Linked DNA regions of Macaca mulatta. The protein of the gene in region 1 purifies or fractionates together with the protein of each later gene. This does not show direct contact. Links are inferred from orthologs where the notes say so. Each region holds a gene or a part of one and is shown on either strand. Other genes may lie near its edges.

Region 1 (4,266 bases):
GACACCTGGAAACACCCTCACATGAGGAACAACAGGTAGGCGGTCTTACAAAAAAGGTGCCCAGCCCCTCCCAGCTCAAGCCCAACCTGCCCAACCCTTTGGGCTCAAAAACCATTAACATTTAAAAGAAACAAACAAAACAACCTTAACCTGACTTTTAAGAATACAGTGGCAGGGTGTGGTGACTGACGCCTGTAATCTCAGCACTTTGGGAGGCCAAGGCAGGAGGCGGGCAGATCCTGAGGCCAGGAGATAAAGACCAGCCTGGCCAACATGGAGAAACCCCGTCCCAACTAAAAATACAAAAATTAGCCGGTGTGGTGGCGGGTCCCTGTAATCCCAGCTACTTGGGAAGGCTGAGGCAGAAGAATCGCTTGAAATTGGAAGGCAGAGATAGCAGTGAACCAAGATTGCACCACTGCACTCCAGCCTGGGCCAAAGAGTGAAAAATTCCGTGGTGGTGGTGGTAGGGGGAGAGATGCAATTTCTTGACCCAACACACCTGCCAAGTTTCTACCTCAGTAGTGGCATCTAGGCTTGGCATTTTTTTTTTTTTTTTTTAAGACAGAGTCCAAAGAGTCCAGCGGAACGATATCGGCTCACTACAACCTCCACCTTCCGGGTTCAAGTAATTATTGTGCCTCAGCCTCCTGTGTAGCTGGAATTACAGGTGCGTACCACTACACCCTGCTACTTTTTTGTATTTTTAGTAGAGACAGGGTTTCGCCATGTTGCCCAGGCTGATCTCGAACTCCTGACCTCAGAAAATCCGCCCGCCTCAGCCTCCCAAAGTGCTAGGACTACAGGCGTGAGCCACCGCGCTGGGCCAAGGCTTGGCATTTTCATGACCAACCAGGTGTCTCTGTGGAACAATCATTTTGAGGGAACAGGAAGGTTGGAGACTTGATACTGAGGAAAGGGGGGGGACCGAGGTTACAGGCACGGTGATGAGGAGGTGACCTCTAGACCAGCTGCTGCCTGACTCCACCTAGCAGCCACTGCTTTTCATCCAGGTAAGCCTGACCACCTGAAGCCCAGCAACCAAATCTCAGTATGGCCTCCTGGACTGCATGCCACAGGCTGATGCCTGAGTCCCTCAGTCCCTGAGATCCAGCCCAGGAACCTGCCTGCGGCGTGCAGTCAGGAGAGCACACTGTGTGCAAAGACAAGAATTAATCTGCATCTTCAACACCAGCCAGGTGGCCAGCCCAACACAGGTGGGAACCCGGCTCTACCTCTCTGAGATCCTGGACAGGCTTCCGCCTGGGTCCTTCGCTTACCTGTCTTCCCCACCGGCTAGCACAGCACCTGCCCAGGTCACAGATTAAACTAGCATTTGAAGAGATGGGTAAACGGACCTGGGTGAGTGGAAACTTGCAAGCGAGACAGCAGGGAGTGTCGTTAGCGATAAATAACAGGCCGACCTCAGTTTGGTCCCGGAACGTAACCGCTCAAAATGGCTCTCGCAGATCGGCCAGGACAGGTCTGCGGCCCCGCGCGAGGAGGCACGGTGGGCCCCCCGTTTAGGACCGAGGACCCGCACCCCAGGACCCCACCTAGCGAACTGCAGCCTGGCTACCTCGGGTTGGGGTGAGCGGCGGGAGCGGGCTGGGGGCGTTTCTACGAGGAGGGGAAGCGCACCACGTCCAGGGACTGAGTGGCTTGGTGGGTCTGGGGTCCTTCCTTGAAGGGGCAGAGGAGGAAGAGGGGCGATGTGAGGCCGGTACGCCGCCTGCGGGAAAGAGGCCCCAGTGCCGGCGCTCTGGCCTTGTCAGTGGCCCGCCGGGGAAGCGGAGGTGGGGGCGCGAGTGGGGGCGGACGGGGTGGAGGGGCCTACGCGCGCAGCCGTCCACCGAGAGGCCAGGGCGGGGGTCCCGGGCGGGGCCGCTGCAGCTGGAGCAGCGCCCGGGGCTGGGCCTGGCCCGAGGCCCGGCGGGGAACACGTGCGGCGGCCGGGGGTGGTTTGGCGGCTCCTGGCGCCGCCCCGCTGCCCGCCTTGCGCTCCCCGGGCCGGGCGGCTACCCGCTTACCTGCCGGGCCGCGGCGGCGGGGCCGGGCGCTCGGGGCGTCGCGTCGGCCGCCGCCTGGGCGGGAGCGCGGACTCAGCTCGACGAGGCGGCAGCTCGGGCGGGCGCCAGGCGGCGGGGGCGCAGTGCGCGTGCGCGAGGGGAGGGGGGCGGTGTCCTGGGGGCGGGGCGAGCTCACAAAGCCGGCCTCTCGGAGGAGCGCTACGGGCAGCGGCAGCGGCCAGAATGCCTCGGGCCGGCCCAACGCTTTAAAGGGACAGCACGGGGCGCGTGCTTCCCGCTTAAAAGCTTTAATCCCCGAATTTGGCTGGTGCAGGCCCTCCTAATGTACTTCCTAAAAATTGAAGTATAATGATACATACAGGAAAGTGCTAGTGTGCCCTCGCGTTTCCACAGACAGCACGCCCTGCACAAAGACACAAGCGGCCTTCCGGGACCTGCGCAGATGGCGTCGCCCGGCGTTGTCCCCGGAGTCAAGTCGGACCGGGGCACCTCCCCGGGCGACCAGGCCCCTTCTTGATCATCGCTGGTACGGATGAGAGCAGCAGTGGGCATTTGGAAAACACCCGGGACCGCTCCCGGGCGCAGTGCCCCCATGTGGCCTCCCACCCCAGGCAGGTAGGACGACTCCTGCCCATTTGGAAGACCAGGAACCTGCGCGTTCGTTCACAGGGTTCGGAAGCCCGGGCTGCGCCTTCCCGCTGGGCCGGCTGCCGGGCTGCGGGCGCTTCCCGCCTCTGCATGCAGAGCCCGCGGTGCACGAACCTGCTCCCCGCCAGCCCCGCGGACTGGCAGAGCCGCGCTGGAGTCACTCCGCAGTGCGCAAACTCACTTCGCAGCGGGCTCTCTGGGGGCCAACCCTTCCCTCCTGGGCGGGCATTTTCTCCTCCAGGTACAACGGGGTGGTCCCCAGAGGAGGACTCAGGGTCTTAAGGAGAAGCTGAGGCCCGGTCCTCTGGCCTCGACGACTGCACATTCTCGCCTGCTTCACTTCGTAGAGCCTTGGAGGTAGGCACGGCCTCCCTATCCCCTCAGCTAGGCCTGTGGGTAGAATAACGCAGTCCCTTATTCTCCAATTAAAAATGGGAACACAGAATGTGACACAGGAACCCGTGCAAACAAAAGGACAGAGCGTTTGAAATAAAGATGCCAAGGAGGGTGAGGTGAGCGGTTGTCAGAGAGGTGGAACCGGAAGACTGGCAGTTGGTCTGGAGTCCCCTTCCCAGGAAGGACACAGAGAAGGCGAGGTCCCTGTCTGGTCCTTCAGGGCTCCAGGTGGATCTGTGTGCCCAAAAGGCTTGATCCCTTGGGCCAGGTGCCCTGGAGCATGGAGTAGTGACAGTCACAGGTTAGCAAACCCAGTTCGGAGAAAGAAGCTCATCTCTATCTCTGGCCGCCTGGGCCGGAATCCCGAGCCCCTGACAGGCTGCTCTCCCTTCCACCCCGCCTCAGCTCTCAGATCGTCCACTTCTCTCCCTCCTCACCCCAGCCCTACCTCCCACCCGGGTCTTTTTTAAACCTGCAGACAGAGAAACTCCTAAAAATCCAGCTCTGATCTGTCACTCCCCAGTTTAAAACTCAGAACCAGCTTCCCATTGTCCTCAATTCCCAAATTCCCACTGCCCAATTCGGGTAAAGTGCTTACCAGACCCCGCCTCCTTTTCCAAACTACCGCCGCCTCCCAAACTGCAGCCCGCGTTCCAGCCCCAAAACAAAAGTATTTCCAGTCCTTCAGCCCTCCAGGCGAAGCAAGATAAGGGGCTGGACCCCAGAACTATCAGAACTCAAACCAGGTTCCCAGCTTCCACTTCCAGGTGAATTGATCTCACCACCCCATCCCACCCCCAGGAGATAGAGCCTTCTAGTAAAAACGAGATAATCCCACCTGGCGCGGTGGCTCACGCCTGTAATCCCAGTACTTTGGGAGGCTGAGGGGAGTGGATCACCTGAGGTCGGGATCACCTGAGTCTGAGGCTGAGGCAGGTGGATCACCTGAGGGTGAGGCAGGAGAATCGCTTGAACCCAGGAGGCGGAGGTTGCACTGAGCCAAGATCGTGCCACTGCACTCCAGCCTGGGCAACAAAAGCAAAACTCCGTCTCAAAAAAAAAAAAAAAAAAATTTTTCAGAGAAACAGTTCCATTTACTAAGTCACTCCTGGTGGCCAAAGCCTAGTTAATGTTCTGAAAAACAAATATCCAACATGTTTGTTCCTTTTCTGTGATTCTTATTTTCTCTTCT
Region 2 (3,563 bases), on another chromosome or scaffold:
CCTGTTGAAATATGCTTTGGTCCTGGGGAAGGGGTTGGCAGGGCCTCTATAGCTACATAGCCTGCCTGGTATTTTGGTTCCTCTTGTTGGTGCAGGTGTGAGTTCCTCCACTTCTAGACTAGACCTAGTGCTGCAGAGACAGGTGTGCTCTCATTGTTGATGTTACCCAGGCTACCTCTGGAGGTAGCCGTGTCACCCATCTTTGAGCAGTTCTTGGGGAAGGGGTCTTTTTTTTTTCCTTCAAGATGGAGTCTCACTCTGTCGCCCAGGCTGGAGTGCAGTGGTGCAATCTCGGCTCATTGCAACCTCTGCCTGCTGGGTTCAAGCAATTCCCCTGCCTCAGCCTCCTGAGTAGCTGGGATTACAGGTATGTGCCACCACGCCCAGCTAATTTTTTTTTGTATTTTTAGTAGAGACAGGGTTTCACCATGTTGGCCAGGCTGGTCTTGAACTCCTGACCTCAGGTGATCCACCCGCCTCGGCCTCCCAAAGTGCTCTGATTACAGGCATGAGCCACTGTGCCCAGCCAAAGGGGTCTTATTGGGAACTCCATGAATCCAGCACCTCAGAAGAGGCTAGACCTCAGCCAGGTTAAATTATTTCTCACATCTTGACAGCACTAGCTCTGGTTCTCAGCCTTGGGGTTACTTTCTGTTTTTGTGTTGGGGAGTTTCAGGTGATTCGTAAGTCATCTTATGGGGTCCTTGTTTGCTTGGACTGAGGAGTGGCTATTCTGTTTATCTCTGTTAATTCCCAGATAAATCAGCATGTTTTATTTGGTGGGGGCGGGTGGGTGTATTTTACCTTACCATATATGTCAACCTTCACCCCAAAGCATTCTCATCCTTTTCTGGGTCTCTCCAGGATTATCAGGCAATTGTTGATGCTGAGTGGAACATTCTCTATGACAAGTTAGAGAAGATCCATCATTCTGGAGCCAAAGTTGTCTTGTCCAAACTCCCCATTGGGGATGTGGCCACCCAGTACTTTGCTGACAGGGACATGTTCTGTGCTGGCCGAGTACCTGAGGAGGATCTGAAGAGGACAATGATGGTAACCAGATTTTCACAGGCTGCTTCTTGGCCTTTGTGGCCCTGAAGGGTTTTCACTGACCCCTGGTATAACAGATAGTGTACTGTCAGGTTGGCATGTGAATTGAGCCCTGTTTTTTTTTTTTTTTTAACTCTCTTTTTTTCCAGGAAGCACTCCATTTCCATGTGTGTGTGCCCAGTGGCACAAACTACTTCAGTCTAACCAAAACAAGTCCAGAAATCTGGTTTGTGAGAGAACCTAGCAGTAATGCTATGATTAGCTGGACAAACTCAAATATGGATTCTTCTAGCCAAATTTCTTCCCTTTCATGAGCATCCCACAAACGATACTTTTAGGTTTAAAGTACTCCTGAGTTCAGGTGCCGGACCCAGTGCCACCCTAGTTAGGGGAGGGAGTATAAGCTGAATCGAATGGGTCCTTATCTCCTTTTTAACTTCTCCTGTTTGCCCTTGATGTGTTTTAGTTCTGTTTTGGTTTTTTGCTCTTTCAGAGGTGGGGAAGGGTCGCCTGGAAGTCAAGGGAAAGGGCGGGTAATGCAGAGGCATGGGAATTGGCCTTGAGACGAGGTGGCAGGAAGCTACCTGGCCTCGGGAACCTTCACTGCTAGATCTTGCCTTCCTTGCTCCCTAGGCGTGTGGAGGCTCAATCCAGACCAGTGTGAATGCTCTGTCAGCAGATGTGCTGGGTCGATGTCAGGTGTTTGAAGAGACCCAGATTGGAGGCGAGAGGTGAGCCGTGGGCCCAGGCCGAGCTCACAACCCGCCTGGATCTGGTCTTCTGCCATCTTTCGGCTGTGGTATACAGGTTTTACGGAGTCTCACCTTTGAGCCATAAAGAGCTCAGATAATGTACAGCATTACAGGAAGATCTAAAGCCTTGACTCCACAATCTTCTATGCCCTGGTGGTACAGTTGTAGACCTTTCCAAGAAAGCGTCTGTAAGGTTGGGATTGGGTAACCTGAGTGAAGAATGTAAGAGCAGCTGCTGAGTGTTGGGAGGGCTGGCAGTGAGAGCAATACAGTAGGACGGTGGCAGACAAGAGTTCATGTGTGTACTATTTAATCCTGGGCATAGGTACAATTTTTTTACTGGCTGCCCCAAGGCCAAGACATGTACCTTCATCCTCCGTGGCGGTGCCGAGCAGTTTATGGAGGAGACAGAGCGGTCCCTGCATGATGCCATCATGATCGTCAGGAGGGCCATCAAGGTACGGGGCTGATGGCCTCCTGCCTGCACAGCCTACTCTCATCTCCCTAGCTGATCAGACCTTGGATTTGTGTGGTGATTCCTTCTCTATATAACCTGCCCTTTCCTGGGTGGTGTGGTGAGCCCTGATTTGCCCCACAAATGGTAGAGAAACTGAGCCTCAGTTTCTCAAAAATAGGTCATCCTGCCTTGAAAGCTAAGACTTGTTCTTTTAGCCAGGTGTGGTAGCTCACACCTGTAATCCCAACACTTCGGAAGGCCGAGGTGGGAGGGTTGCTTGAGGCCAAGAGTTTGGCACCAGCCTGGGCAACATAGCGAGACCCTGTCTCTACAAAAAAAAAAATTAGCCAGGAATGGTGGTATGTGCCTGCAGTCAGTCCCTGCTACTTGGGAGGCTAAGGTGGAAAGATCCCTTGAGCCCAGGAGTTGGTGGCTACAATGAGCTATGATCACACCACAGCACTCCAGCCTGGGCAACAGAGCAAGCAGAAGAAACACTTGATTTTGTTAGCAAACTGTGGATCTAATGTAGTCAGGTATTCCAGTAATTGTGCCAATGTCTTTGAGCTGCAGGTGACCTTGAAAATAGAAACCATAAGGTTCAGCAGGTTGAAGTTGGGATGTTCTAGATAGGGACTGTGTCTGGGCTTTTGGGGCTTGGGATGGAGGAAGGAATGAAGAACCACTCTTTCTGGGCTGAAGGGACCTACTGAGTGGCCCCGCATGGAAGTTTGGACCAGGGGCCTTCTTCCATTGAGAGGTCTGATCTCTGCAGAATGATTCAGTGGTGGCTGGTGGCGGGGCCATTGAGATGGAGCTCTCCAAGTACCTGCGGGATTACTCAAGGACTATTCCAGGAAAACAGCAGCTGTTGATTGGGGCGTATGCCAAGGCCTTGGAGATTATCCCACGCCAGCTGTGTGACAATGCTGGCTTTGATGCCACAAACATTCTCAACAAACTGCGGGCTCGGCATGCCCAGGTGGGTCCTTTCTCTCCCCAGGGTTCCGGGTTTGGGCAGGTGGGCTGGGTTCTGAATGTGAGCTGTGCTTACTCAAGCTGTTCACGCGTAGCCCAGGAGATAGGCTGCAACTCCACCCAGCCTGTCTACCTGACCACCTGCCTCCTCTGAGGGCAGAAGGAAAGCCATGGTGCTAGCACTGGAGATCCAGGGTTTCTTCATTGCTTCTACCAAGAATATGATTGTGGCTGGGCGCGGTGGCTCACGCCTGTAATCCCAGCACTTTGGGAGGCTGAGGTGGGTGGATCATGAGGTCAGAAGTTCGAGACCAGCCTGGCCAACA

The links. Proteins that work in one complex are often made in the same cells at the same time.
Region 2: the proteins of WDR5 (region 1) and CCT7 purify together in Homo sapiens (affinity purification with mass spectrometry; 3 studies listed by BioGRID and IntAct, with this or other methods). This does not show direct contact. The link is inferred for Macaca mulatta from reciprocal best matches to the Homo sapiens genes WDR5 and CCT7.

The regions. Positions count from the first base shown.
Region 1 is NC_133420.1:8,377,326-8,381,591, forward strand, and holds the start of WDR5 (WD repeat-containing protein 5), read right to left. Parts: upstream 2,818-4,266; 5' UTR 2,771-2,817; coding exon 2,682-2,770; exon of another isoform or gene 2,554-2,681; coding exon 2,390-2,553; intron 2,150-2,389; exon of another isoform or gene 2,031-2,149; intron 1,976-2,030; exon of another isoform or gene 1,281-1,975; intron 1-1,280.
Region 2 is NC_133418.1:51,484,086-51,487,648, reverse strand, and holds part of CCT7 (T-complex protein 1 subunit eta), read left to right. Parts: intron 1-864; coding exon 865-1,053; intron 1,054-1,683; coding exon 1,684-1,781; intron 1,782-2,127; coding exon 2,128-2,260; intron 2,261-3,034; coding exon 3,035-3,241; intron 3,242-3,563. UniProt on the Homo sapiens protein: Component of the chaperonin-containing T-complex (TRiC), a molecular chaperone complex that assists the folding of actin, tubulin and other proteins upon ATP hydrolysis.